Linked DNA regions of Oryzias latipes. The protein of the gene in region 1 purifies or fractionates together with the protein of each later gene. This does not show direct contact. Links are inferred from orthologs where the notes say so. Each region holds a gene or a part of one and is shown in the gene's direction. Other genes may lie near its edges.

Evidence for each region.
Region 2: the proteins of slc38a9 (region 1) and lamtor3 purify together in Homo sapiens (affinity purification with mass spectrometry; 3 studies listed by BioGRID and IntAct, with this or other methods). This does not show direct contact. The link is inferred for Oryzias latipes from reciprocal best matches to the Homo sapiens genes SLC38A9 and LAMTOR3.
Region 3: the proteins of slc38a9 (region 1) and lamtor1 purify together in Homo sapiens (co-immunoprecipitation; 5 studies listed by BioGRID and IntAct, with this or other methods). This does not show direct contact. The link is inferred for Oryzias latipes from reciprocal best matches to the Homo sapiens genes SLC38A9 and LAMTOR1.
Region 4: the proteins of slc38a9 (region 1) and lamtor4 purify together in Homo sapiens (affinity purification with mass spectrometry; 4 studies listed by BioGRID and IntAct, with this or other methods). This does not show direct contact. The link is inferred for Oryzias latipes from reciprocal best matches to the Homo sapiens genes SLC38A9 and LAMTOR4.

The regions. Positions count from the first base shown.
Region 1 is NC_019870.2:27,085,416-27,093,457, forward strand, and holds the start of slc38a9 (sodium-coupled neutral amino acid transporter 9), read left to right. Parts: upstream 1-3,599; 5' UTR 3,600-3,727; intron 3,728-8,042.
Region 2 is NC_019880.2:24,347,126-24,355,117, forward strand, and holds lamtor3 (ragulator complex protein LAMTOR3), read left to right. Parts: upstream 1-3,608; 5' UTR 3,609-3,674; coding exon 3,675-3,707; intron 3,708-3,791; coding exon 3,792-3,826; intron 3,827-3,981; coding exon 3,982-4,040; intron 4,041-4,407; coding exon 4,408-4,541; intron 4,542-5,187; coding exon 5,188-5,251; intron 5,252-6,319; coding exon 6,320-6,393; 3' UTR 6,394-6,510; downstream 6,511-7,992. Other genes in the region: dapp1 (dual adapter for phosphotyrosine and 3-phosphotyrosine and 3-phosphoinositide), read right to left, coding at 7,144-7,263. UniProt on the Homo sapiens protein: As part of the Ragulator complex it is involved in amino acid sensing and activation of mTORC1, a signaling complex promoting cell growth in response to growth factors, energy levels, and amino acids.
Region 3 is NC_019871.2:21,795,897-21,803,827, reverse strand, and holds lamtor1 (ragulator complex protein LAMTOR1), read left to right. Parts: upstream 1-2,591; 5' UTR 2,592-2,877; coding exon 2,878-2,919; intron 2,920-4,056; coding exon 4,057-4,202; intron 4,203-4,297; coding exon 4,298-4,375; intron 4,376-4,807; coding exon 4,808-4,931; intron 4,932-5,662; coding exon 5,663-5,755; 3' UTR 5,756-6,992; downstream 6,993-7,931. UniProt on the Homo sapiens protein: Key component of the Ragulator complex, a multiprotein complex involved in amino acid sensing and activation of mTORC1, a signaling complex promoting cell growth in response to growth factors, energy levels, and amino acids.
Region 4 is NC_019881.2:23,885,333-23,892,258, forward strand, and holds lamtor4 (ragulator complex protein LAMTOR4), read left to right. Parts: upstream 1-3,952; 5' UTR 3,953-4,058; coding exon 4,059-4,061; intron 4,062-4,134; coding exon 4,135-4,218; intron 4,219-4,280; coding exon 4,281-4,425; intron 4,426-4,490; coding exon 4,491-4,588; 3' UTR 4,589-4,949; downstream 4,950-6,926. Other genes in the region: ADP-ribosylation factor 4, read right to left, coding at 5,399-5,485. UniProt on the Homo sapiens protein: As part of the Ragulator complex it is involved in amino acid sensing and activation of mTORC1, a signaling complex promoting cell growth in response to growth factors, energy levels, and amino acids.

The DNA.
Region 1 (8,042 bases):
TGCAGAGCAGCAGGAGTTCAGTAGAAATTCACCTCTGAAATCTGGGTGGGACTGTTGGCATGGAGTAAGCCTGCGCTCCTTTCCCATGATCCCTTTGTTTTCACTCTTACCCGCTAGCATACAGCCCCTCACACCCCCAGCCTATAGTGATACAGCAAAATTGTCGACCAATATTGGAGCTATTCCCAAGTACAGTTGGGATCCACCTTCGAGCTTAACTTCTTTATATATGTCCTCAATCATCATAAAAATGCAACAAGAACACGTTATAAATCCCAAGAACAGGATTTTCATTGGAGAGGGTCTTTTCTGACTGGAACCTGAGTGAAAAGCTTCAGGGTGAAAAGGATTTAAAGACCAACACTGAACGTCAGTCCTTTAATTAGGGCCAAAAAAAAGCAGGAAGATCTAACACGGTTACAAGAACACATAAAGAACTTAGGCCCCTTTTAAGCTTTTGACTTATGTGCATTTTTTTTATTAACCCCAGAATCCACAGATGTTCACCTTTCCTCACAGTTTTTTTACAATCGGGGTAAAACCTGCCGCTTAAAAACTTTATAAAGACAGAAATGACCCTAATTATTAAAAAAAAAACACACACACTTAAAACCACATTTTGATGGAATAAAAACTAACTTATGTAAAAACAAAAAATTTACGTCCACCATTAATGTCGTCCGCTCAAAGATGAAATTCCCAGAATGCAACGCCCTGTAAATGTTGAAAAACTGGCACATTGAGATCGACTGCTAAGACTTGTTTGTAGTAAAAAACAATATAATAAAATACTTTTACTATATTTTTGATGAAAGTTTTACATCACTGCCTGTCTAATTTTCGGTTCTCTAGATACGCCTTCACCTGTACACTCATCCGTTGTGACATGGCTGTATGCGGGTACCCGTCACAGATCGGGTAGCACCATCATATCACGCTCTTATCACGTACAGTCACACGCAGGAACGAAACAAGGTTGTGAAATTCAGGATTTTCAGGTAAGGGCGATATCTAGATCTACATCAATCCTGCTACCAGTCCAGTTTTTCCTGTCATTTTCTCTCATTACTGTGTTCTAGCAGTGGGAAATGGGTCCAATTCATTTTCCTCTATTGTGTGACACCAATGGTTTGGTCCTTATAATGTTGAAGACAAACTATTGACAGATTAAAACTCTTTCAAAGGGTTAAATGGTGTCTCTAATGGGGGAAATGCCCCGATGACATCTCGCTATAAAAAGGGAAATAATAAAAAGTTCCTACTTCATAAAATATGGACACTTTCCCCCTTTCCAGTTGGAGATTTCAAGTTTTTTTTTCATTTATGTGTATATTTAGTATTGTTTTTTTTCTAAATGTGTGAAGCACTTTAATTACAATTTGCTTGTAAAGTGTACCATATAATTTAGACTGAACTGGATTCATATTGTGTTATTCAAAGCAGTATTGTTACCAGAAAGACATGAAACCGATGTTCAATTTGTTTATTTGTAATTTTTTTTTTTCAGTGCAAGAATTTTTCTTTTTTTCTGACTCAGATATTACCTCCAAAAGGTCTTTTGGCTCATCTTTTTTTCTCCAGTCTCATATTTATTCTCTGTGTGAATTTTTAGATGATTCTTCTTTTCCAATTTTTTGATCTTCCATCTGTTTCTTGTGACGACAAGAACTGAATTTTCTTAGGAATCACTACACCCCCATGTGTTCTATCACCAAAGAGAGGTTCCAGCCTGTGTGCGGTTCGTGACATGCGGCAAGGGTCACGGCTGGGAGGGCAAGAAAATAGGTCCAAATAACTAAATGACAGACAGTGGCCAAAGTGTCGGAAAAACCACCAAAGCACCAAATATCAACCCGACAGTCCTCAGCCAGAAAAACGTTGCCAAAAGCCCACCAACACTGAAGACCAAAACCCTGAAAACCAGACAGTAACAGTGCAGGCAGCTCTGACAGATCCAAGGTACCAGAACCAGAAGATGGTGGGGAGAGGCCACCTGCAGGAAAACAGAACCAGGAATCAGAATAAAGAACCCAAAAAGCTAAGATGCAAACTACGACATCATAACAGATTTCTTTATATTCTGTGGACATTGTACTGCTGTCTCACTTTGGAAAAACAATGGAACACTCTACACCCTAACTCATTTAGCTAAGGAATTTCACTGCCATCCTCTGGTTTTATAGCCATGTTAGATCAGGAAATGTGAAAACATTGCAAGTTTGACTTCACTGAAATCCTAATGAGCAAGCATCCTTAATACTGTTGTGACATGTAGGTCAGTATTTAACCCCCCACACAGTAGGTGGCAGTATGTACCTCAGTTTGAATTTCACTGTTAAGTGATAAATGGTCAAAAATTTTGTCAGCTCTCTTGTCCTCTCGCTTGTTTTAATGAAAGCCAATTAAAATGTTTGGTTCAATGCCAGCAGTCTGCTGCTGTTGTGTCCTTGGGAATTCCCATCACCTTCCCTGCCTCCAGTGTGGCTCCACTGGTGTGTGGACCATCGGTGATGGTCAGAGGGGCCTCTGTCAGTCAAGTTTGAATGAGGATTGAATGAATAATGGAAACACACTGTGAGCGCTTTGAGCGTCTGGAAAAGCGCAGAAAAATCCAATCCATTATTTTTTAAATGGAAATGTTTTGCCTGTAGCAACAACAACCTACACTCTCTTTGATTGACGAGCTGCTTTGCTAAACTGACACTTGATTTGTCTCTGAGTTTTTACTGCTTCTGTCGTCTTATTCCCAGTAACAAGAAAAGAACCCGACTGTGGCTCACCATCACGCTCTTTAGAGTAATTTAAAGGATTTTCACGGCTTTGTGAAGGTTTGTTCAAAAAAGTACATTTGGTTTATTTATTGCCAAGTGTTCATGGGAGAATGGTAGATAGTTACATCTGCTTTCAGAAGAGTTATACCTACCCTTACCAAAAAATGTCTATTTAAGTATACTACAAGCAAACCAAGTCTATACTAAAAATGAAGTGGGACACTTGAAGTGTACTTTTTCCCACACATTGTGATATATTATATAGTAATATATATACATAGATTTTCAATTTAGTCTGAAGTATTCAGTTATACTTCCCACATGTCATGTACATGGTTTATAGCAGACTTGCTACATTTGCAATAATATTTATCCTAAAGTATAGATAGTACAATAAATGTCAGGTGTGTCACTGTATACAGCGAAGTAAAAATATTTATTAACGTATAATGAATTTACAGAAACAGTAGAAGTCAGTGAAGTTACATGGAACAAGGAAACCTCATCTAATGAGAAAGATTAAAATGATTACATTTCTTGTGGGTGATTCATCACAAAATTTAAAGCTAAAGTTCTGTTTTAAATTAATAAAACCATTTTAGAAAAATTCCAAGAAACGTGAATCAGAATTTAAGGTAAAAGCAGAACATTTAGAGTAAATATCAGGTGTTTAATGCTTGAAGTTTCTTTCCAGAAGGGAAACAATTGGAAAGTGAATTTCGTGTCTTTGACAGGAGTTTGGACCTTCTCGGCCACCGTCAGTGCAAAGTTTTTGTAGCAGCCAATCGGCGTGCTTTGTGCTGTCCCTGGAGGCGTGTCTCCCCGTGGAGGCGTGTCTAGCCGTGTTTGCTGCACAGACCAGACCGGCTAAGAGACGGGCTCGCGGCTGCGAGACGCACCCACGGAAACCGGCGTCGCCTCCTCTGGATTTGAACCGGCGACTCGAACGCAGGACGGTAAGACGCCGCATTGTCCGTCAGTCAAGTCTGTGGGACGCGGGAATCTGCGGTGCCGTCAGGACCGGCTGTTGTTGTTCGGCGGGCGGACTTCAGCTTCGTTCCAGCTAACCTTTTTACCTGAGCGCGTGACCACAACACGGGGCTCGTCTGTTGGTGCTTTTCTCCCGAAAAAAGTTATTTTTCAGAAATGTAGATGTAATATGTTCTCAGGTACGTTTGAGGCGATCACCTGTCCACAGGTAGACTGTTCCGTTTGCTAATAGAAGTGAATGCGCGCGCAGTTAGCGATGCTATTGCAATAAAATATACAGTTGGATTACTCTTTCTGCCACATAAAACCGATACATTGGAGTAATTAAATTACTGCTATATTCAGATCTTAGGAAACTAATCGCCAAAAAATAAAAAAATAAAAACAAAAATAAAATAACCGTGAAACCTCTAGTTTGTCTTCTTGGTCTCTAGTGGTCCTTCATAACTTACAGGTCAGCAACAGAGCAGAACCGGTTCCGATGGGCTTATTTGAAGGGTTCATTTGGCATTTATCCATCTGTGCGTCACTTCACTGGCATTTTCTGTTAATTTTATTGTTTCCTTCCAGTTTTATTTTACACATTTTCAATGAAAAATAATAATAACAACGATGATCGATTAAACATGTAAGGGCGCAGATAACCATCACACATCTGAATCCGGGTTCATTAAACTGTCCGCATGGAAAGTTTCACATGGATCTGAATCCTGAGGAGAAATCACAGCTTTCTGAGAAATCTCCATAGATTTAGGGATACATGTTTTTAGTTTGTGAATCGATTCCTGTAGTTTCTCTGTGTAATTTTATGTATGTGTAGTTTTCTCTCTCTCTCCGGCCCGGTAACTGTCCCAGAGACCAGTACCGGTCCATGGCCCGGGGTTTGGGGACCACTCATTAAAGGAACTGTGTGTTATTCCAGGTTGAATTCAACTTTAAATGCTTATTCCAATAGACTTCCCTGAAATCAGAGCTTTGTGGCTCTCATGATGTGATCTGCAGTTCATGGTGACATTGTGACTTTAGACGGAAAAGTTCTACCGTAGATGGTTCTAACCAGACAGCAGTTCTCCGTGGGGTTTTGGATCGGAGAACCTCAGAAGTGTTTTCACCGACATCACCATCACATTCATCAGGTTTCTGTCTTCCTGAACTTGTTTGTTTAGTGAAAATATAGATATTCTGAGCCGTGACTTGATCCTTGGACCAAACATTTTGATTTTTTTTTTAAGGATCTATTGAACCTTTTAAAAAATAACCATACAGTTTCTTTTTGGATGTATGGTCATTTTCTAGAAACCTTTATGACTCCTCGTCAGAAGCTCTATACAACCTTAAAGTAATAAAAGTCAATAACTGACTCTTGTAACTCAGCCCTCTTTTGTCCAAAACAACAAAGTTTTATTCCCACATACAGTGGCTTGCTTTCGTAAATCACTCATGGTCAATAAAGTTTGTTGGTTTGCGTACTTGTTCATCTTTGGCTGCCATCGCAGCACTGAATCTGTGGATAAGTCTTTATCAGAGTTGTGCACCTGCACACTGGAATGTTGCTCCATTCATCTTTGCAAAACTGCTCCAGTTCTGTCAGGTTGGGTGGAGACCGGGCAGGAACAGCTCCTTAAAGTCCAGCCACACATTCAGGTGTTGGCTTTGACTCGGCCCCTCCAGAACATTAACCTGGTTCTTTTAAAGCCATTCCTGTGTAGCTTTTGCCGTTTGCTTTGGATCATTGTCTTGCTGGAAAATGAACCTCCTCTCACGCCGTAGTTCTCCTGCAGTCTGAAAAAGATTGTCCTCCAAATTTTCAGTGTATTTTGCAGCATTCATTCTGCCCTCTATCTTTACAAGCCTTCCAGTGCCTGCTGCTGCGAAACATCCCCACAGCATGATGCTACCACCACCATGCTTCACGGTGGGGGGATGGTGTATTTTTGATGATATGCAGTCTTTGGTTTCTATCTTGTTTGATGGCCAAGAAGCTCAATTTTGGTCTCATGAGATCAAAGAATCTTCTACCACTTGATCATGGAGTCTTCCATTTGCCTTTTGGTGAACTCTAGTCGAGCTCTAGTCTGTATTTTCTTTAACAGTGGATTTCTCGTTGCCTCTCTACCGTAAAGCTTTGACCGGTGAAGAACCCGGGCAGCAGTTGCTACGTGCAGCGTCTCTCCAGTCTCAGCAGCTGAAGCTTTTATCTCCTTCAAAGTAGCCGTAGGGTCTTGGTGGCGTCTCTAAAGTCTCCTACTTGAACGGTCATTCCGTTAATGAGGGCGGCCTGATCTAGGCAGATTCACACGTGTGCCATAGTCCTTCCATTCCTTGATGATGGAGTTCACTGAACTCCGGGGGATGTTCAATGCCTTGGAAATGTTTTTGTATCCACCCCCTGACTTGTACCTCTCAACAACCCTGTCTCTGAGCTGTTTGTAGGGCTCCTCTGTCTTCATGGTGAAATGGTAGCCGGAAAAACCGCACCACCAGTATCTGGAGCCTTCATAGACAGGTGTTTTATAACCCCCTTGGGACACACCCACTCCACTCAGGTGATCTTCATTCCGTTAATTGATAGACTATTGGCACTAATTGGATGGACTTCTATTGAATTTAAAAGGGCTTGAATAATTATGCAAACAATCATTTCATGTTATTGTTTCATTGACATTACTTTGTAGAAATCTGTTGTCACGTTGACATTAAGGTTTTTTCTGTAGTACATTTTTGTGTGAGGAAAGACTAACTTTATTGACCATGAGTGATTTTTATCTATTTTTTATTTTGGAAGGTTCTGCAAATGATGAAGTGGAATTCCAAGTCTCCGTATCCACATTAACTTCAAGTATTCAGATTTAACACAATACATTCTGTATTAATAATCCTTCTGGGAAATCTCTAGGATTAAAATTCCAAACTCAGACATTTCTTTTTCTTATAATTTCCATGAACATTGTTCTTGTTGGTTCTCTAGTAAAGTGTTTTTCAACTTATTTGAGCCACGGCACACTTTAACCTCGACAGGAATCCTGCGGCACACCAGCATCCAAAAATGAAAAAAAGAAGAAGGAGAAACTCGGTCTGTATTGATCTACAGCCCCTCCACAATCTCACATACATTTTTATGATAATTGTGGCAGAAAAAGCTGGAAGTTGCTGCTGTTTTTTCTAAAAAAATGTAATAAAAGTTAAGTTAAAAGATTTAAAAACTGATGTGGTTTCAAGACGTTTAACAAGTACGACTCATTGTGCGCTGAGACGCTGTCACTTTAACCCAATGCATTATGGGAGATGTAGTGTGTTAACTGCCGCAAAAGGGCAGACACTCTTCTCTGAGCTTCATTGTTTTGTTCACTTGTTCCACGGTCTGACACCGGATTCTGTGGAAAGCTACACCGATAAAGACGAGCTTTAGCTGGTATTTTTGTTGGAACTGAGCGACTTTATGAGCAGAATCAGAACAAGGAAGTGAAGACTTTAACCACTTCTGATTGGTCGGACTGATGACATGTGATTAAGCCTCCAAGAATGATTGGTGGAGACAGTTAAAGGGGCGGGACTTTTCCAAAAACAGCTGAAGCTACGGCTAAATCACGGTACCGTCATTCTTATCAAAATGTCTTTAATAGAATCAAATAAACAGAAAGAAAAAAGTTTTTTATTATGTTTCATATTCCTAACTACTCTGTGTTTTATCAGGGCCTGTTTGGATGAACACAGAGCTGAAATCCTGGAGATGGAAAATGTTTTTAGATCAGTTATTGAGGGCACTTTCCGGATTTCCGCAACCCGGTTGAAAAACACTGCTCTAGCAGACATTAGATGAGAACAAATGACTAATTTTAGTTGTCGTTTAGTCCTTTTCGGGCTATTTAGAATGAAAAGAGGTTACCTTTTGATGCAGTTATTTGAAATTGGACATAAAAATAGAATTTTCTGCAGAAATGTGCGATTGCTTCAGCTGGATCTGAAGATGCGGAAGTTAAGAATAACATGGAAAATGTATTGCTAAAGCAGAAAAATGTGTCAACATTTTCTAATCCCTCAATGGGTATTTAATTGTCTAAAGAAACTGAACACGAATAAAAAAAAAAGATTGCAAATAAGTAATGATATTATCTGGGAAAGTGACCAAATCTGCTGCTCAAAAATGTTTGGTTATCGGTGCGCGAAAAGTCCCATATATAGTCAAATCTGCAAAAGAACAACTAAAAATGTGTCTGATATCATTCAGGAGAAGTGGTTAAAGCGTGAAGGTGAACTCCTGGATCAGAAGGTTCTTGACAT
Region 2 (7,992 bases), on another chromosome or scaffold:
TGATGGAGGACGTACGTAAATAGACTTAAGCTTCTTTTTGTTTATTCAGACAAATATATCCTTGTACGTCTTTGTTTTTCTGGTCTGAGCTTGAATCTGGATCAGAACCGTCCTGCTGGATAGCTCTGACATTGCTCGCCGTTTTATAGTAAACAGACGGGGAGGCAAAGGAGTAAACTATGACCTGAAGGAGCATTCACACTGGCAGGTTTGGTCCAGCCAAGCTCGGTTGGGTGTGAAGTAAAACTAGGCAAACGTGGAGCTTTTGTCAGCATTCCTTCCCATCGAGCTGGGATCTTCCCAGGGAGGAAAGGGTGGAAAATCAGAGTTTGTTGTTTAAATGTGCATCAGTGAAGCAGTCAGAAAATATCGTTGTGAACTTTAAGGTGTGTGTAGAAAAAGCTCTTCTCCCCCATCTTTAATTTTGTCCAGCTAACAGTTTTAAAGTTTACGTTTTCCAAATGTATACAATCCACATGTTTGAAGGAAATCTCAGGTCGGGTTCAAATTCCCTCACTATTCAGTGTCTTCTTCATTTTGTCATTAGGTCTGAATCATTTAGGTTTCATCATCAGACCACAGGGGATTTAGAAGTAAACTTTATAAAATGTTCACATTTATGGGGTTTTTATTTCAGCATTTGGGTGACATCATATTTGTCGTTTAACAGAACTCGGCATTGTGTCTAAATTGCATTCAAATCCAGGATAGTCCCGCTCTGAATCATGTTTTGGGGGTTAGGAGCAGTGAGGGGATCCAGACATGGCCTAGGAGGTGTTCAGCAGAAGTTCTTTCAGAGCTTTTTAGCTGCTGATTTAACCTGAAATGTCTAATTTCCCTTCAAAATGTTATTTCCTGAAAAATGGAACAGCTTTGAAGGAACATCAGCGACATTTGATTAGTTTGAGTTGTCGTTCCTGCCTCTGTAAGCCCGTGTGGGTTCCCTTCACCCTGATGTCCAGAACCTTCCTCTGTCTCTAGTGAACCCCCCCACTTTCCTGCGTTCCTCCTTGACGCTCTGCCTCAGATTCCCTGCTGATCTCCGTGCTGGGCATGGCTGTCTACACGGGATACGTCTTCATGCCGCAGCACATCATGGCCATCCTGCACTACTTTGAGGTGGTACAGTGAGGCCGCCCTCCTCTTCTTCTTCGGCCTCCTTTGCTGGGGGACTCGTTGAACCTTCCCTCTTCGTTTCTCTCTGGTCCGTGGAGTGGTCCACATGACTGACTGCCGCCCCCGTGCTTCAGTGAAGCACGAGCTGATGGACGCAGACGTGGACTTCCTGCCAGAGCGGGCAGAAGAGACTGTCTAGACTTTATCACAGGAGGGTCCTTTTAAAGTTCTGCTTCACCTTTCCCACGTCTGCTCTGGAGAGCCTTTTCAGATCTGTTTAGCTCCGCCCCCTGATGGCGTCACACAGACAGTAAGGAGCGCTTTAATCACACATTCCTGGGTTGATGACGTTCTTCTGATCTAAGGAGGAACGTCTGGAGGAGGAGGAGAAGCTCCTCAGAAGTCTTTTCGATGAAGTCATCTGTGAGAACACCGTCCATCTTCTTCCCCTGAATGTTTTTTCTCCAACTGTGTGTTTTCTGAATGATGACATTATAATAAACATGTGTGTGATATGTTTGTAAAGGCTGGTTGTCATAATCAAAATGTTCATGTCAACTAATCAACACACAGAGAAACTTCTGAAGATTCACCTTTAAAAACGGATGGTTTCATTGAGACGGAAGCAGAAGCTCTTCATGGCTCCTCCAGAAGAGGGGGGACGGGTGGGACGGGACGGCGTGATGGCGGGGCAGCAGTGAAGCTGCAGAATATGTTTCAGACCTGATGAGTCCTGCTGTGTGTCCGACTGCTCTGACCTTCACGTCTCCACGCTCTGCTCCTCTGCAGCTTCCATCGTCTCTTCAGCCGCTGCATGAGACCTTTTTGAACCTGGGACTTATGTCAGACCCAGATCCCCTCTGAACCGGTCCAGCAGGTTCCTGTGGTCTGAATGGATTCCCTTGAAGCTCCTTCAGACCACGCCCACATTTCCATGTTTGTGTTTGCACCGAAGACCGTTTTCTAGGAGAACAGCTTCCTTTTTCCAAATACCTCTCATACATGAACTCTTTCATGTCTGTGTCTGGGCTTTTTTCCCCTAAAACTACATTTGACAATTGGAAGATGAACGTTTGAAGATTTAGTTCACGTCTCACCTGTTCTGAAGAACATGATCAGAAACCTTCTCCTGCCTGAGCTGCAGTGCCTGGAATGTCCTGGAAACAAAGGACCCTGGAGGTGACGACACCCACCTGAGCAATCCACACAGAAAGAAACAACCGATCTGGAGGAGGCAGCTCTGCTGAAAAAAGAACTAATGACTTTTATTGGGCAAATGTTACTGATGGATGGACTGACGACGGGCTTTCAGCAGGGACAGCAAGACAGTATAATAATCTATAATAAGGGATGTTACAATACCGGACAAATAAATCAATATATTGTATCTGATTGGAGACCAAATACTAATATTTTCTTGTAGGTGGCAGTAGCTGCGAAATATTTTAGCTGTGTTTAGAATAAGTTTAAAAGAAATTTCCAATTCAAAATAATTGGAAAATAAAGTTTTAGTCAACTTTATTGAAATATGTTGCCAGCACATTTCGATCAGTTGTAAGTAATGTTAGAATCTTCACTTAGTCCAGAACTATGATGGAGGTTCTAATATATTTTCTATCTACATTTTTCCCAGTCAAAAGAAGACAAAAAACATTAGACTTGGTTTGACCATGGATGAACCATGACGTCTGACCACCAGCAGGGGGAGCAGAGAGCACACGGCAGTTTAAAACAGCGAAGAAGAAGCGTCACGTGACAGCGAAGAAGAAGCGTCACGTGACTGCAGCTCTTTGGAAATTCACGGTGGTAGCATCAGCTGATTGTTTGTTTAAACGTTCAGAGGACCGAGCTCACTGTGGAAACGCTCCGGACGGGCTCGTCGTGTTTTGGATTCGGAGCCGGCGGTTCTCCTGACTTCCTGTGACGGAACCGGCTTGGGTCCTCGGAGCTGCCATGGCGGACGTGAGTCTGTCTGTCCTCCTTTAGCACCTCCTGTTCTGTTAGGCTTCACTAAAAACTCTTTAGTTTTTGGGAAGATGCTCAAAGTTCACTATTCTCTTCTAATTACAAAAACACACAGTATCATGTGGGATGGTTTGTAGGTGATAAATTATTTCATTTGGCATTTAATATTGTATTAATGTTTCATTCACAACAGCAAATTCTTAAAAAAAAATCAAACCATTACTTAATAAATTTTAGAGAGAGATATGTTTTTTTTAATCACTAAAGTTTATTAAAACAAAAGTGCAAAACAGATAAGCTGTGTAACAACCCTTAGTTTTATATTACATTTGTATTAGACTACAGTCCTAATTTTCATCTTTATTTCTTTCTGTTCTATACATGTGGATATGTTGTGTTAAAAACAGACGCTCTACAGAGGTCACGTGACATTTTTCCATTAACTGTTTATGAGAACTAGACTGGGTGACTCCTCCCCCTGGCTGTCCAAACAGGAAGTACCTGTTGGCTCCAAGAAGCCAGAATCCCATAGACTTCTTTGGAGAAATTAACAGCGGTTACTCGGTCACTATTGTCAGTAATGCTGGGTGAAAATGGTGGTGGGGAGACCAGGATCTTCTCTGACGGTTTGAAGCTCTAAAGCTCACAGACGTCCACGTTCTTGACTGTTTCTGAGGTTGCTCCTTAACTCTTTATGCTCCCGTCTGCAGGATCTGAAGAGGTTCCTGTACAAACAGATGCAGAGGTGAGGCTTTTGTCCCTTATTGTTATTGCACAAAGTGATTTACTTTAACTATATAACAAGAAAAAAAAATCTGTATTATAAATCAAATCTCTTTTCTCAAAAAAGAGTTTTTGTATCTTATATCACATGTAAATAGTAGTTTTCTGTGTCCTCAGTGTTGACGGGCTTCACGCTATCGTGGTGACGGACCGAGACGGCGTCCCGGTAATCAAAGGTGAGACTTCTTCTGTTTCGGGTTTTCTGTTCCAATAAACTGTGTTTTAATAACTTATTAGAAATACTTTTGGCCTCAGGGCCAACCTGCTACTCAACAGGAACGCTTTATCCTCAGCCTCAGCAGCTTCTTGTTGTGGCAGTAGTTTCATGGTTTGGGGTGACTCAGCTCTGGCTCCACTCGTACGAGTTTAGGTTAGAAGTCACCAAAGTAGAGCAGAAAATGGATCTAAAAGACTCATTCATCTGCATTTTAGGGGTCAAACTGTTGGGGATTTTTCTGACTTTTTTTTCTGGCCCTGGTCTTTGAACGCACCGCTCACCAGCAGGAAGTCCTCATCCTAACACGCCTGCTTGTTTTCCTCCAGTTGCCAACGACAGCGTTCCGGTGCACGCGCTCAGACCGGGCTTCCTGTCCACGTTCGCTCTGGCCACGGATCAGGGGAGCAAGCTGGGCCTCTCCAAGAACAAGAGCATCATCTGCTACTACAACACCTACCAGGTGACCCCTCCCAGCATCACCGCGTGGGGGCGTGGCAGCCGGAACACCGGCGCCTTTCACCCGCGCTCGCTTCATCCGGTTCCTGCCAGTTTGTGTCCGGTCCGGGTCAGATCCAGAACCAGACTCTAGTCTCCATCGTCTCTTATAGTAACAAACTTCCTGTTTGTAAACTTTTGGGGGTGGGATTAAGAGAATAGCCTCACATAAAAGCAGAGTGAGACGGACTGAAATGAGATGATCCATGGGAGTCGGATCACAACAGAAGCACTAGAGCAGGTTCTGTAAATGTCAGAGGGTTCTGAGAGTAAAGAAGAACTTCTGCTGGGACAGAGAGGAGAAAAGTCTGCAAACGTTATCCTCTGATGGAGCAGACAAAACGTCCAGCAGAGGAAAATCTCAGAATCTGTTGGTCTTCTTTTGTTTTTCATGATTTGTTAAGCCAGCTGAACTTTTTCCTGAGTTTTTTTAAGAAAAATCAGAGAAGTGAAAATATTTGGGTTTTTTTTATTGCTAAGTAAAAAAAAAAACCAAATCACTCTGATGGATTCCTTCTGCTCTGAACCAGCCTAACCCGGCCAATCTCCATGGTAACCAGACTCTGCTCTGGTTCTGCCTTTGTGACCCGTCTGCTGTCTCTGCTCGACAGATCATGCAGTTTAACCGCCTGCCGCTGGTCGTCAGCTTCATCGCCAGCAGCAGCGCCAACACAGGTGAGATGAGGAGGCGTGTCTGAGGAGCCCCGCCCACTGGTTATCTGCAGTCTGTTTGATGTTCTCTGAACAGAGCGTGTCTTAAAATGATCTCAGTCTTCATCTCCGTGCACCCCGCTGTTCGTGTGTAGCTTATTGCTGCATCGTGGGGAAGGAGAAATATCGCCATGGAAACGCAAAAACTTTTACCTGAGGCCTTTTCATCATCCAAATGAAAGAAAGCAGAGAAAGTGACTCAGCATCATCGTCCAAAATATGTTGCAATGTGGTAATACTGGCATTTAAAATACGGCTCAAGAGCCAAGAAGTTGAAGTTTATCTGAGAAAAAACCCGACATTTCAGATCATTTAGTCTGACGGGAATCTCCAGGAATGTTCTGGATTATATTTAGTGAAAAGAAGAAAAAAAGTTCTTGTCAAACCCCTTCTGACAAAAGATGAATCCTGTGAGTCTGACCCATCCTGCAGACTCAGGTGGGAGGGGCCTAATCAAAACCTAGAGTGAGCCCTCCCCCCCTGGCGTTCCAAACAGGAAGTACCTAATCCTACAGAGAAATAGACAGCTGTTACTCAGTCTTTTGATCCGAGTAAGTATTCTTACTCGGATACATTTTTTTTATGATCGTCATATTTTTCTGTGGTTCAAGTTATAAACTGACCAATCAGATAAGAGTATCCATTCGACAGATTTCATGTCTTTTAAGTGGTGGTAGGGGTGTGGAGTTCCAACAAGCTCACTCCTGATTGGTGAGAGTGGTTGCCATAGAAACATGGACTCAGATTGACTTATCGCTGCTTATATATCCTGAAAAAATGGCGAGTGAATTGACTTCATGTGGTTGGAGCTGGAGGTAAACCATTTTCTCTGTGTGATGTCACATTCAGTCCAGTGCTCATATGCAGTCAGGGGATTCTCCAGATAAACCTGATCCTGACCAGGGTAGGGTCAGATTGTTTCCATAGCAACAGACTCCAGTTAGGAGCCATCCAGCTTTGTGAAAATGAATCCATCTGGTTTTTCACACGAGTGGGAGGCGTTTTGTAAAAACCCTCCTTTTCTGTCCTCAGGCCTCATCATGACTCTGGAGAAGGAGCTGGCTCCTCTGATGGAGGAGCTGAGGCAGGTGGTGGAGGTCACATAAAGTCCCATGATGCTTTGCTAAGAAAACCCGCCTACAGTTTCTACCGTCGCCTCTGCTGCAAACTTCTCACCTTGCGTTGTCATTTCTAACTCTTGAATAAAAGCTTTTCCATCAGGAGCTCCACTGTTTGTTTTTTTCTCTGAGAAGAGTGAAGAACCACAAAAGCGTCCCACGCTGAAGATGATTCTCATGATTCCAAAATTATTGGTTAGGTTGGAACGTAAAAAAATGGAATTAAAATCTGACAAAAACTTTTAAAAAAAAACAAAGAAATCACTTTTATATTTCATTTACATTCACAATATGACAAACAGTCATGTTTGGTGTAATCTGAAAAATATAATCCACGTTTTTCTCGTCTCTGATATTCAGATTAACTTTAACCCTTGTGCTATCCTATGGGGTCCAGATGACCCCACCCTTACACCCCACCCCCCCACCTCCATCTGAGATATTTTTTGAAGTCAAACTTTCAGTGTCTTTACAGTGATTTAAATATTTATTCTAAAACAGCAAATATAATACACAACTAAAGTGAGGTGGGGATCTATTTTGAACAACATGAATCTATACAACATTCCTCTGGTCCACTTTAGCTGAAACTCCAGAACAAACAGAAGGCTTTTCTGACCAAAATACTTTGGATATTTTTTCAGTCTTTAACATACAGCCGACAGTCGATCCTCAGCACCTGAACTCAAACAGTTTTTCAAAATAAATGCACTTTTTTGAGGAGGATGTTGGGTTCCATCAGCGGTCAGGACCGTCTTCTGCAGCCGGAGCGCTTTCCGGTCCGTCATCGACCTTTTCTCGTCTGTGACTGCAAACAAACACGAGGCCGTGAACAACATGAGCCACAGCGACGGAGGCCTGAAGAGCACAAACAAACCCAACAGATTCATGGCCTGAAAGCTACAAAAACGTGCACATAAACCTCTGTCTGCAGAGCTAAGTGACTGTCTCAACTCCCAGCATCTCCATCTCTAAAACATACGTCTTAATGGTGTTTTTTTTTTATTTCTTTACAAACCAAACCTCTTATTCAAACTTTTCCTATGGGGACATTTCATGGGGGGTGCTCTGGATGTTTGGCAGACATGAACCCATTAACCCTTGTTCTATCCTATGACCCCACCCTTGCATTGACGTGTTGGGATGCCTGTGGGAGGGGCTAAGCCTTCATAAGGGGTGAACTTACTTTTCCCAGTTGAGGGAGAGCGGTCTTGGTTGCAGTGGTGGCAACAGGCTCTCCCGAAATCAGCTGAATTTATTGTCTGATTTTTCTTTTCTTTTTCTTTTTTTTTGGGGGGGGGGGGGTCAATAAAATCCCATTTTTGAAATTTTGAGTCTGCTGGCTTGGGCATCTTATTTCAGAGTGATTTATTTTTTTGCTGCTGAGAAGAACCCCGTCACAGCCACTGAGCTAAATACATTTGCACGCATATCCCGTTCTGTTAATGTCACTCTGGGGAGGGGCCAAAGTTGAAGATTCTACTTGTAAAAAACAAATCTAGAAAGTCACCAAAAGGAGCATTTTTGTTTTCAGCGTGCACTTATTTGACAAGGAGTTGCCAAAAGGCATCATTACTAACTGCTCTT
Region 3 (7,931 bases), on another chromosome or scaffold:
GGAATGGTTATTCTGACAAATAGGATGACTAAGTAATGGCAGCTTTTCCTCCATAGAAGTCAATGGGATTTTGGTTTTGGGAGCAAGCGGCTACTTCCTGTTTGGAACGCCAGCGGTGACATTGTTCGGTTTTAAACAGTATTGCAGCATCCCTAAAATCAACACGGCTCAAATGTTGGATTTACAAATAAAAAAGCAGTAGATCTGGCAGATTTCAAAGCATTTCAGCAAATGCAATTATACAGATTAATAGAAAAAGTTAATGACGAGTTATACAACATAATATAGTAAGAAATGGTTCTGATGCAGCGTAACTGCTGAGTATAATAAAAGCTTCTGTCTCTATCATCAGGCTGAGACAGAAACCCCTCTTTTTAGTGCCGCTGTTTTCCGTCTGTGAGGCGTGTCGGAGACCCTTTCATCTTCTCCAGAGAGATTAGACTTGTGCTTACATGTCACAGACTGCTCCTCTCTCACACCATCTTGCTTTTGTTAAGAATGGTATTAGAAAGAGAACTTCTTGATTTTTTTTTATAAATCTCAAAGTTTAAAACACACTGATCTAGTACAGTAAACTTGACTTTCTCAAAGTCCCACTCTAATCATCTTTTGCTCTATTCTAAAAATGTTCCAAGTGGTCTTTTAAATATGATTATGCCGATTTTACCCCAAATCAGCAAACCTATGCTATTTTCTTGGACAGTTTCTGCGGAGTGGCAGTCGTTTATTAGAAATTCAGCCATTACTGAAAGATGTCATTTTACTCGCTCTTCCTGTAGCTAACAGCCCCTCACACCCTCACCATAACATTTCCGGAGCAATGTTATCGTAATGCCTGATGCCAGCTCTGATGATGAAAACAAAGATCTACTTGGATCTAGTCATATAAAAGGTGGATGCATCAGAATGAAGCGGAGCAGGTGGGAATTAAACAGGCAATATTTCGATTAGAGGTCAGCCGCCCTACTGCTGCACCATGGCCACCCCATTATAATGTTGAACTGTTCATCCGCTGTTAGGCCATCATTGAAAGGCATGTGTTTTAAATCAAATGTATTTTATTTACCGGTAGTGCCATTTGACTCTGGAATTTAATCATGCTATTCCTTAAAAGTTTTGTCTTCACTGTAAAAAACAACAACAATAAGAGCTCATAGACAAATCTATGATAAAAACAAGTCAACATTGAGATATTTATATTTAAATTGACCCATTTTCATGAACAAATCTACATTTTCCTTGTCAAAAACATAAAATTGTCACAACCATGCTTACAGCTTATGGAGTTTTTTTTAAAAACTTTTTGTTTCTGAAAAAATTTTCTGAAAATGTGTTTACTGTATATATTTCCTGTCCGCACTTATGTTTGGCTAACTATTTGTTTGTCTAACTATCTTCATTAATTATGACTGGTACATTTTTTCTTTTCTTTAATTTCTGTGAGGATTTTTATGAGTAAATGTGGATTTCCAAACATTCACTGTGAATATCTGAAATGGAGAACCTTAAATTTAACGCCCATTCATTGTCACACACCTAAATGACCACTAGAGGCTGGTTTCAGAATGAGGCAATTTCCCACTGACTCTCACATCTAAAAGTCGGACTTTAAAGCAAAATTTTATATTTCTATTGATTTATTTTTGTTCACCACAGGTGTGGAATATGTGGAGGTGTGTGTTTTTTTTTTGATTGGCAGGTAGTTGGACTTAGCAAAACTCCAACATTCTGAGCAAACTGTGGGTCTTTTTTAGTTGCAATTCGGATTCAGATTATCCCAAGCGGAGTTTTGTTATCCATTACTGTTCACTCAAAAATCCAACACTTCAGATTTCAAAAGTCAGTTATTAGATGAAACAAGAAAAAGAATACCTTTTTTCATCACTTCAGCAACAAAATAAATAATCCATCTGTCCGTCTGTCCATCCATTTTCTTTATCAGCGATATAAACGGGGCCTGTTCACCTGCTGTTGGTTCTGATAAATTATTTAACACTTAAAGGTCTTTTTTTTCAGCTCTGCTCAATTTTTTCCTTTGGCTTTTAAACAGATGACTGATTATTTTCAGCTAAAGCTCCTGAAGGTGGAATTCACCACAGATATTTATTTTTTCTTATCTTAAATAAATTTTGGAGGAAAACGAAGGTGTTAATATTTTTTATTTATTTAATAATTTTTATATATTGTAAAAATGATAGATTCAAGATTTATATGTATATTATAATACATAATTTAAAAACATTATACTATTTTTTATTACAAATATTGATGACATAATTGTTTATCAGATTTCATTAATTGCCTGGAACAAAAATAATATTATTTGTTTTAACCCTTGTGCTATCTTAGATGACCCCACCCTTACTTTGACGTGTTCTCCCTACCATGACAAAGGTGGATAAAGGTGGAAAGATTTCATGTAATTTATGGACACCAGTGAAGATCACAAATCATTGAAGAAAAAAGATTCAGCGCACTGTTTAGTCGGTCTAGATGACCCAGCTCCCAATGTTAAAATGCCTAGGATAGCACAAGGGTTAACGAAGCAAGGGGTGAGGGTTCTAATGGCACACGGCCCCGCCGAAGGGCGCCACTGTGCTTCTGCATGAAACAACCTGCATCACGTGACGAAGGCCGCAGCGGCTTCACGAGAACCGGAAGTAGAAGTTGAGTTGTTGTTGCAACACAGCTGCTGTCATGTGATAGCCTGTCTGAAAAGCTGCTGTGCTGCAGTAGCTTCCTGCTTCTTGATGTTGTTAAAGTAAAAGTCCACAGGAGAGGAATTTTATGTTTGTTGGAGACGGAGCGCGCGGCTCGTATCTGAAGGAGAACAGGGAAGCCGCGCATTGCTAGTTTGGCTCCTCAGACGCCGCCGCCATGGGTTGCTGTTACAGCAACGAGGACGAGAACACAAGTCAGGTAGTTAGCCGCTAGCTAACCACAACCCGATAACTGTACGGTGCTCGGTTCTGCCTTGTTTACCGTGGTATTTACTTTTTTTTAAAATTGATATTTAAATATAAAGAGGAAAACCTGCCCATGTAACTTCTAGTTTTGTGTCAGATATTTCTGTAACATCTAAAGCAATGTAGCTAACTCTAATGCAGGCCTAGCCCGGAGCTGATTTAGTAGCTTAAGTAAAGTAAACAAGTTGTATATCTGTTAATGTAAACATCTGGATTTCTTGTTAAAGTTTAGTGGTTTATATATACGAAATATTTACTTATCAAACAAATTCACGTCCTGCAGTTTGTTACGTAGATTATGTTCGTGCTGTTTAATCATGGGTTAGAAATCAATTGTGAGCTGTAGGCTGTACAGAATACATAACTAGACTTTTCCGTATTGTGTCTTGAAGAGTTCAGTGTCACATGATCATGCAGACTCCAAGCTATTTTAGTATAAGGAAACAAGTGTGACGTTCCTTTGTTACTGTAAATATGCCATCATAGTTGTAGTAAAATAACTGTTTAGCCCTCTATTTTTATTATTTTTGCAAAGCACATTAAACCAAACACGTAAATTGTTCTGTTAAAAGCATAGTGAAATTTAAAGTATAATTGATTTAGTTTAAACATTTCTCTATAATAAAACACACATTAGGTTTAATTAACATTATTTTTATTGATTTGTGTAAGGTCTGGTAGCATAACATGTACAAGTGGATGAAGGGTTTTTGTATTCGTATTTAAAGAATTAAAAGTTGAGATGAACTGTTTTCCGGTTAAGTGAAAAAGTTTCTTAAAATATTTAAAATGAAATGGTACTGGATAACCTAACACATGAAAAATAAATATCATAACAGACTTATTGTTCAGCACTAGCAAAGGTTGCAGAGATTTCTCTTAGTTGAAGAGTTTGTAATATGTTCACTTATTAAAAGTAAAAATGAGTAACTTGCTGCACACATGTCATCTACAGTCTTTTGTCCTGGTAAAATGGCATGCTTTCATTGTTGCAACTACTTCAGAAAACAGTTTTAAGACAGTATTTGTGACATTTTCATTCAGAAGTGTGTATAAATTGTCTGAATAGATGCTCTGCTACTTTTGCAAGGACCCTGATGAGATTAAGCCCCTTATCCCCCACCCAAACCCCATTAGCAAGCCTCCAAATGGGACAGACTGGATCAATCCTAGCGTCCCATCAGCGCGGACGGATGAGCAGGCCATTCTCACATCCATCCTGGTCAAGACAGCACAGTAAGGCACTTTTTATGTTTGGATAGGTCCAGAATGGGACTTTTGACACTATAGTCTCAAACGCAAGTAATGAAAATCTCTTTGTTGTGTTTGAGGAACATCATTGATGTCTCAGCAGCTGACTCTGTTGTTATGGAGCAGCATGAATACATGGACAAAGCCAAGCAATACAGGTATGTCTTTGAAGACTACTTATTCGTTACCAACTGAACTTTTGGCATGTGTAAGCCAATAATTTAAATTTATATTAAATTTGTAAACTGCAAGCCTCTGTATTGTAATTGGTTGAACAACTTTTATTCTGCAATATTTTGTATACATGGTTCGGATTTAGCAAAAAAAACAGTTTTATTCGTGGAATCTAAAGCAATTGAGGATGATGAGGTCTTTGTATCCTGAGGAAGTTGTGAAGGAGGTAATTTAACCACAAAATTGCTGCAGTGCTGGTGCTTCCCTATAAAAGCTGTTTAGACAAAACAGCTGTCAAGCTGTAAAAGGCAACCGCCGGTTATAGTGCAAAACTGTGCAGTCTGGTCGGACACAAGCGAGACCATTTGGGTTAATTTTTTTTGAAGCTGAACTTGTGTTTTTTTTTATGGTTCCAGTACAAAGTTGACTGCAGTGAGCACCAGCCTACCACAGAAGAAAGCACTAGCCCTCCCCTCACTCACTACCCAGCCCCACCAAGTGCTTGCAAGTGATCTGGTGTCATATTCAGATATTCAGCAGGTAACCACACTGACACGCACTTTAATCCATGTCCTTGAATCCATGTCCTGTTTGTCCTGCCTTGTTTTATGCTGTAAAACCAGGTGATTTGTTTAAAAAACAAAACAAAGACCCTATAAAAAAGTTGAGGTTTATCTTGGTTGTGTTTTGAAAATAAAAACAGAGTATTTTGAAATATTGTTGCATCAACCCATTTCTTCATCTAAACATTCAGAATTCTCCCCCTTAAAAATGTACAAATGGACAAAAAAAAGAAAACAAGTGATATTAATTACTAGACTCTCAGTTGAAATCGCATGTTACTTTCTGCTGAAGTATTAATATTAATTTTTTTTTTCATTATTATGATCAGTGCTTTATATTTTAAAATATTCTATTAGAAGTCTGTAATAGCGTTCTGATCATGCAGATTTTCAAAATCAAATGACTCAGAATCGGATTGGGGGCAAAAAAAAACCTCGTTGGGAGACGTCTCCGCTAAGTACTTCATGTGAAGAGTTGCTTTTTCTCTTTTAACTGTAAAGCTGAACGTTTGTAAGACATCTTTTAAAGAGCAAATACACAATTTTTGTTCAATTCTTCAATATTTGACTTGCTGCTTGTTGGGACTGCAAATGGACATTAGCTCTGAGAGCTATGGTCTGGGACAAAGCACCTTTTCTTTTATTAATGTTCCTGTAATTGGTTCCTGTCAAATAAATGAAACCTACAATGTTGTCCTTTTTCCGCAGGTGTCCAAGATAGCTGCTTATGCTTACAGTGCGATCTCTCAAATCAAAGTGGATGCTAAAGAGGAACTGGTGGTCCAGTTTGCCATTCCTTGATTCTGCAACTCCGACCTGCATATTGTTCCTCCCATCCAAGTCGCTCTTCGTCTCATCTGTGTTCTCCTCCAGCCCACTTTTTCTGTTTTTTTTTAAAACTACTTTGATCCTGTGCTTCTCGGTCATACCTCTCAGTCATACCTCTGACTGTTAAAAACCCCACAGAGGTTTTGCTCCGGTCTAACTGTCCACTATTGTGCTTAGAGGATCTGTGACAGTAGGTTTTCTGTCCAATGTGCACTTGGGAGAGAGGTTCATGTGGGATTTCAGGCTCCATATGGAGATGTAGGGGAAAAGTCACATTCCTCATCTCTCTTTTGTTATAACCTGGAAGTTTTTCACGCCTTGTTTGGTTGAATCTTCAGGAAAGTCTCACTTTACTTTAATCCAAAAGCATGAACTGAATGGACGGAGTGCAAACCCCAGCAGTCTCTGTGACGATGAAGGAAAATGAAACAGCGTTTCAAAAGCAGGGGTGGGGACTGAAAATTTTCATTTGGTTATTTTTTTTGTTTTCCTGTTCTAGCCAAATGATGAATGCGTCTGATGTGTGGGGATTTAATTCACTCATGTCAGCTACGAATCAGTCAGCTTCTGTTTTGACATTTTTTAATTTTTTGTGTGTGTTTTTTTTTTTTTTGCCTCAGAATTTTAGATAATTGAATGCAGTGGGGAACAGAAGAGTGATGGAGGGGCAGGGTGTTGGAGGACACAGCATATTCATCCTTTTGTACAGACGGATTCTAAAAACATGATGGCTTGTACAGAGTTTGTCTGCTTGTAAAGGGGAGTTGAACCGACATGCAGCCTTCTCAAGTGTTAGTTTTACACAAAAAGGTTCACTGCAGGTTATCCTCATATAGAGTTGTCCATATTAATCAGAAACTAACCATCGTAGTCGAGTGTGTTCAAATTCCATGAACTGCAGGAGATGGTGAGATCTCAGAGCTTTTTGTGATTATTTATTTTTTGGTCTTCAATGCTTGTTTGCTCCACAGAGAGTGCGGTGAGCTGCTCTGGGCTCGATAAAGGGATGTTCAGCGAGGATGTGACTATTTAAACCACACAACTGATTTCAGCTTTTTTTTTCAGTTACTTGGCTTTTCTTTTTGTTACTCGGATGTGTAATACTACCTGAATAACTGTATGTTTGTAATATTTTAGGCTAGTACCAAAAACTTTTAGTTTTTTTCTTTTTTTTTGGGTTTAATCAGTACATTAAAAATTTTCAACAAAGTAGTCGTGTATTATTAAAAACACAACCTGGCATTTAAGAAGCTGTTTACTATGCGTTTCAATGATGAGCCTATAATGGGGTTTTAATAATAAAATAAATTAAAGCTGCGAGCGGTATTGTATGGCCTGCAGGCGCTGCCCTCCCTGCCCCCTTTTGTCCTGTCCTCACTGAATGGGCGACTGCCCCTCACCCCCCTCTTCTGCCCCTACCATCCTGGTCAGAGCTGCACTTGACATATTCACGACTTTTCTGTTGGTTTCACGTCCATAGCAACGGTTTTGTATTTGGGTTGCCAAGTGATGGCAAACTGATCTTTGTAATTCTGAGAAGAATCTGCAAGAGTTGTTTTATTTCTTTGACAAAGGAGGTTTTTTGTTAACCACGCCCACATTCCTAATATGTTCACAAATGTTCAATTATTCCGTTCAGCTTTAGTTAAGGTATTGTGTATTACATTTTTACAATATTGCATTAAGAAATGTGAAACAACAGGAAAATGCCACTTTTGTGAGCTCGCTAATCTACAATTGCCAACATTTTTCTCGAGGAGTTAGGCGATGGGTGAAAATCCCTAGGACAAATTTTAAGTTTATAGAAGGTACTAATGAAGATTTTTATTAAGAAAGTTCAAGATGGCAGCCTCTTCCCAGGGTCAAAGGTCAACAAAACTTCAAGGTGGGGGTGAAATTTCTTTAAGATTGCAAACAAAACATTTTTCTTTTTCCATATTGTGTGTGAAGAGTGCCAAAATTCACACTTAAAAGAGCCGCCAAGCTGCAGGTCCTGTGGCCATCCCATAATTTTAAAACTTCTTTTGAATTTGTGGTTAGTGGATTTTGAAAGTCTTTTTTTTTTTTTTTCTTTGGCTGCGTATGGCATTTTTGGCCATTTTTTTATGGATTCTCCTGCTCTGATTTTTTTTTTTTTTTTCGGGGGGTT
Region 4 (6,926 bases), on another chromosome or scaffold:
ATGCAAAGATTGGATTGCATTTTTGTCTTCACATCATTCAAAAAGTGGCGCATACATTTATTTCCAGTCAGCATTTCTAGGTAGCGTTTGGGGCATAATTTATCTTGTATATTAAACTAAAAATTCCACACATGGATAGATGTCGTTAATTGTTATAAAGTGGACCTCTGTCATTTTTGGAGGGAAACGTAAGAAAACAGGATCTGATGTGAGAATTGTCTGTTTTTTTTAATGTGACTGAATTGTCCTGACAGGAAGGGAATATAATTTAGGCTCTTAAAACACTTTTAATCTGTAAAACAAACCTGAATTACCAGTTTTGGAAGTTGAGGTAAAATCGATGAATTTTGTACACTTGCTCTGATTAAATGGGTTAAATCTGTAGAAATTGAACATTCTGTGAATGTGAAATCCAAAATGTTTTATCTAAGGAAAGTTCCTCACTGTCCATCAGGAGGACGACAGCCCAACTTCTGTAAAACCTGATGTCAAAGCTGTTTGGGATTTTCAGTTTGATGGGTAATTAAAGTGGATCAAAATCCCATTTAAAAAGAAATTCAATACCAACCTTCTGAAATAGACGTGAGGGAATGGTAATGTTTGTTTTTCTGTCTGCTGTTATTTCATGACCTGGATGACCTTCATCCTCTGTAGGTTTTCCAGGTGAAGGTTTGTTGTTTCTGATAAAATCATTCTGTAGTTGATGGATCTTTTGAATGTTTGTGTTGGAAGTAGCTACGGCATAATGGATGCTCTCCGTTCATGTTCAAAGCATTCTATCAAACATTCAAATGTTAGAATTCTTGTTTTATTGTCGTCAATTGTTCTGATCTGACTCTAGTTTGTGTTTTCACAGCAGTGTTGAACAGTAACGCAGTAACAGTAACTTAAACAGCCTCGAAGCGACAAACACGTTTTCACTAAGTAAACAATTGAAAACAGACTTTTAGTCTTTCAAGAGTCACATTCTAGCAGTAATGATAGAAACTTCTGGAAATCTCAGTGGGGTGAAGATGTTTATGGTGGTCAGCTGGAACTCTCAGTTCAAAACACATTCTTCTGAGCAAATGTGACATTCAGGGTCATTCTGTGTTTCTGATAATGTCCACTCAAAGTAACATCTTTATTACTATTAACAGATACGGTTACAACTCCAAACTTGAAAACGTTGAGCTCATTTCTTTGAATGAAAATGATATAATTTCTGGTCTAAACAACTTTCCCGATTAATACAGCTTGAAAATAATCAGCTGGACAAATGGCCCCCACGTGTTCTATCACCTGATAGTTACATTCATTCATGCAGAGACAGAACCTGAAAGATGTCTGCAGAGAAAGATTCCCATCAGACTCTGTTCTTACCTGCAGTAATAATTATGGATCCAAACAATCTGGCATAGATTACTGGCTGGTGTCTGATTGTCTAAATGCAGATGATATTGAAGTCAACATTCTTCCTTCTCCACTAACAGATCATAAAGCAATTTACATTTCTATTAAATTATCCGAAACTAGATCCCAAAATAAGAGAGCATACTGGATGTTAAATAACTCACTGCTTAAGCTAGACACAGTACAACAAAAGGTTTCTGAATTCATCTCTTACTTTTATAATCTAGCAAAAGAAGAAAACTGTTACGGTAAAAACTGGGAACTTTTTAAATTTGAAATCACTAATTTTTGTTAGAAAGTTTAGTTCAGAACTAAATAAAACTAAAAAGGCTAAAGAAAGCCAAATTATCAATGACATTATGACAATTTCAAAAAGAAATCCTGCAGAGTTATCAGATGATGATAAAATAAATTTGGCATTATTACAAAAAGAATTAGACAGTATTTATAAGAACAGAGCTGAAGGAGCCTTTGGAAGATCAAGGCTGAAATGGTTAAAAGAGGGGGAGAAGAATTCCTCTTACTTTTTTCAACTGGAGAAACGTCGTTCCAAGACAAATACACTACAGCAGTTAAACATTGAAGGCCAGATGACCTCTGATCCCAAAGTTATTGCAGATGATGTTAGCCTGTTCTACAGTAAACTGTCTGCCTTTGAACCCAGCGTAGATCCTGATCACTTCCTAAACTAGAATCTACAACAATACAGGCTTCTGAACGGGATCTCTGTGATTCTCCTCTTTCAGAAAATGAAATACTTTTCTCTATTAACCATCTTAAGAATAACAAATCTCCTGGACCAGATGGCTTAACGGGAGAATTTTATAAACAATTTAGTGATAAAATGAGCCCCTTTCTGACACAGGTATTTGTAGAGAGCATAGAAAAAGGCTTCCTTCCTCCAACATTAAATCAAGGCGTTCTTACTCTGATACCCAAACCCAAAAAAGATGGACTTCTCATTGACAACTGGCGTCCCGTATATCTATTAAATAATGACTACAAGATTCTTGCATCTGTCTTTGCAAAGAGACTTAAATCTGTTCTAAACTCAGTTATTGCAGAGACACAATCAGGATTCAGACACATCTCCAATAACATTGGTCTAGTTCTTGATATTCTAGATTCCTCACACCTGATCTCTGATGACAGTTGATTCTCTTTTTAGACTTTTATAAAGCGTTTGACTCTGTTAATCATCATTTTATCTTCAGCTGTCTTCATACATTTCTTCTGTAATACAGTTAAAACTCTGTATGCTAATGCTAACTGTTCTGTCAAACTAAAAAATGCCCCCCCCCAGATTCAATCCCAATAGAGGAATCAGATGGGGGGGGGGGTCCTATTTCACCGTATCTTTTTCTTCTAGTTACCCAAACTCTTGCTGATTGTATCAATATTCATAAATTAAAAGGCGTCTCAGTTCTTAATAAAGAAATGTTAATGAGTCAGTTTGCTGATGACACGACTCTCTTCTTCAGAGACAGCAGTCAGGTTTCCTGATCTCTGAACCGTATCCAGTCTGTCTCTGATGTCTCAGGTCTACGTCTCAGTCTGAACAAATAAGAACTTCTTTCTGTTGAAGATTGTGCTTTAGAATCTGCAACAGTCCTGTAATAGAAACTGTAACATATTTAGGCGTTAATATTTCCAAAAGTAGTTTAGAAAGATGCTCATTAAATTTCCCTCCCCCTCATTGATGAAGCCAAAAAACGTTTGAACCAAAGGCTTCAGAGAGACCAGAGTCTGAGGAAGGATTCACTCTCCACAGCAGAGGGGATTTCTAGACTGACTAATTCTGGACAATCAGACTCTGAAATCTATTGATCAAATGCTGCTAAACTTCATCTGGAAAAACCGGATTCATTATTTAAAAAATCTGTATTAATGAACTCCTATGAAAAAGGAGGCCTAAATTTTCTTGATCTTACTACTTTAAATAATACTTTTAAAATAAACTGGATGATATTTCAAAAATCCACTCTCCATTTGGAATATTTTCCCTCGTCACATGTTTGCTAAAGTAGCTTTTCTCCATTTTCTTCTGCTTTGTGATTATAATATCGACAGAATCCCAGTGAAAATCTCTGCTTTTCACAGATTCTTCTTTCTTATCTATAAACACAACTTTTCTCCTCATAAGTTTTTTATTTGGAATAACAGAGATATCCTTTACAAGAACAAATCTTTATTTTACAATCATTGGTTTGACAATAATATCCTACTGGGGACGCCGTTCCTACTGAATCTGTGAACTCTTTAAAAATACTGTACTTGATGCAAATATTCCCTTCATGTCTCTAAGTGACACTAATGTTGGAAAATCTTGTTTCAACTAAAGAATAACAAGATCATCCGTGTTTCAGCTAAACGTCATTTCTGTTCCTCTGCTGTTTTCTATTGGAGAACATTTATTCCTGACTCGTCCTGGAAAAATGTTTGGACCCTGAATCAGAAATGATTAATTAATAACAAGATGAGAGACGTCTGCTACAAACGTCTACATAGAATCTACCCCATAATCAATACATGCTCAGATAGAAGAAAACTATTGACTAAGTAAACAGGAAGTGTAGCGAAACAGACCGGAAGTCGCTTGGAAGGCCTGAAAGGCACCGCCCACCAGCCTACGTCAGCAGTCACGTGAAGGATCATCTTCCGGAAGAATGGTGAGTTCGCTCTCTGTCTCCGTGCCGCTTTTCCGAACCGAACCTCACCGAACCTCACGTGTGTTGTGTGCAGAGCACGGCGGCGCTGACGGCGGGTCTGGACCGGATCCCGGACCAGCTCGGGTACTTGGTGATCAGCGAGGACGGAGTTCTGGCGGTAAGTAGTATCCGGGCCCAGCTTTGTTACCGAACCGAACCTGAGCAGGCTCACCTGTGCAGTCGGCAGGTGAGCTGGAGAACGACGAGCACACGGCGAGCGTCATAATGCAGATGGTCCGGACCGCGAACCGCTTCCGGTTATCTGGATCTGCGGACCACTTCCGGTCACCCGGATCCGAGGACGTCCCGTTTAAGCGCATGTCCGGTAAGTCACACCTGACAGGTGAGCTCGGCTGGTGATGCCCCGCCCTGACTCGGTTCTGTTCGCAGTGGTTCTGGAGGACTTCGTCTTGGCGGTGACCGTTTCCGGTCAGAAGGTGTTTGTGGTCAAACGTCAGCACGCGCATCCTGAGCACGTCACAGCGTGAAGGCGGGGCCAGGCGGAGAGGACGACAGTCCACCTTTGGACCGAGTCGGAACCGACTTGCTCAGTAATGAACTGATGTGACCCACCAATCGCACAGAACTGGAGCAAGTTCTCTAAACAGTTTCGGTTCTGTTTGGATCATTGGACAGAACCCAGTTACGTTTAGGTTCTGGACCTTTACAGAACAAGGTCAGCTACAGTGGTTCTGAAGGCAGAGCGGAAGACCGATCCTGCAAAGGTTCTGCTGCATGTTTTGGATTCTGAAATAAAATCTTCATCTCCCAAAGAAACCAGATTTTCTGTCAGAACTTGTCATTTAAATAAAGTTTTAATGTTTTGAAAACTGATTCAAATAAACATACGAAAACCTGAAGTTTGTCTGATCCTTAACCAGATTCAGTTCTGAGACCGGTCTGGTCTAGAGTCTGCAGGTTCTGGTTCAGAACAAAGCCCACCAGCGTGACAAGAAAAAGCTTTATTGCGTCATCTTCTTCATCTCTTCTTCACATTAGGCAGGAATGACGGGGGCGCCGGTCCGGCTGTGGAATGACTCGTCACCTGCCCAGGTAGCTCTCACCTGCCCCAAGCCCCACCCCTCTCCCAAAACATCCTGTCACATGATCTGGATTTAAAACATGCGCATAAAAGAACAAACACCGGCAGAAGAAGAAGAGGATGATGGGAAACCTCAGAGTCTGTGACATCACTTCCTTCTACAGCTATAATTTAAAAAAAGAAAAAAAAAACAGGAACAGTCTGGCGGAAGGCTCCTCCTCTTCCTCTGTACACGGTGACATCATCAGTCAGCTGCTTAGCGTTTGGACAACTCATTGGACAGCCAGTCCAGCCCCTCGTACAGACCGGTCCCCTGAGTGGCACAGGTGGCCTGGACGTGCCACTGCAACACACAAACACACACATGTCAGGAGGAGCGGTTCTGACCCACGTCTGCTTAAGATCCCCCCCCATGGTTCTGGCTCCATAAGTCAGGGGGGCCAAAGGGGTGGAGCTGTTCTGACCCACGTCTGCTTAAGCCCCCCCCCCCCCCCCATGGTTCTGGCTCCATGAGTCAGGGGGCCAAAGGGGTGGAGCGGTTCTGACCCACGTCTGCTTAAGATCCCCCCCAATGGTTCTGGCTCCATGAGTCAGGGGGCCAAAGGGGTGGAGCGGTTCTGACCCACGTCTGCCCAAGGCCCCCCCCCCATGGTTCTGGCTACATGAGTCAGGGGGCCAAAGGGGTGGAGCGGTTCTGACCCACGTCTGCCCAAGGCCCCCCCCCATGGTTCTGGCTACATGAGTCAGGGGGCCAAAGGGGTGGAGCGGTTCTGACCCACGTCTGCTTAAGCCCCCCCCCCATGGTTCTGGCTCCATGAGTCAGGGGGCCAAAGGGGTGGAGCGGTTCTGACCCACGTCTGCCCAAGGCCCCCCCCCATGGTTCTGGCTACATGAGTCAGGGAGCCAAAGGGGTGGAGCGGTTCTGACCCACGTCTGCTTAAGGCCCCCCCCCATGGTTCTGGCTCCATGAGTCAGGGGGCCAAAGGGGTGGAGCGGTTCTGACCCAAGTTTGCTTAAGGCCCCCCCCCATGGTTCTGGCTCCATGAGTCAGGGGGCCAAAGGGGTGGAGCGGTTCTGACCCACGTGTGCTTAAGGCCCCCCTCCATAGGGTTCTGGCTCCATGAGTCAGGGGGCCAAAGGGGTGGAGCGGTTCTGACCCACGTTTGCTTAAGGCCCCCCCCCATAGGGTTCTGGCTCCATGAGTCAGGGGGCCAAAGGGGTGGAGCGGTTCTGACCCACGTTTGCTTAAGGCCCCCCCCCCCATGGTTCTGGCTCCATGAGTCAGGGGGCCAAAGGGGTGGAGCGGTTCTGACCCACGTTTGCTTAAAGCCCCCCCCCATGGTTCTGGCTACATGAGTCAGGGGGCCAAAGGGGTGGAGCGGTTCTGACCCACGTCTGCTTAAGCCCCCCCCCCATGGTTCTGGCTCCATGAGTCAGGGGGCCAAAGGGGTGGAGCGGTTCTGACCCACGTCTGCCCAAGGCCCCCCCCCATGGTTCTGGCTACATGAGTCAGGGAGCCAAAGGGGTGGAGCGGTTCTGACCCACGTCTGCTTAAGGCCCCCCCCCATGGTTCTGGCTCCATGAGTCAGGGGGCCAAAGGGGTGGAGCGGTTCTGACCCAAGTTTGCTTAAGGCCCCCCCCCATGGTTCTGGCTCCATGAGTCAGGGGGCCAAAGGGGTGGAGCGGTTCTGACCCACGTGTGCTTAAGGCCCCCCCCCCTAGGGTTCTGGCTCCATGAGTCAGGGGGCCAAAGGGGTGGAGCGGTTCTGACCCACGTCTGCCCA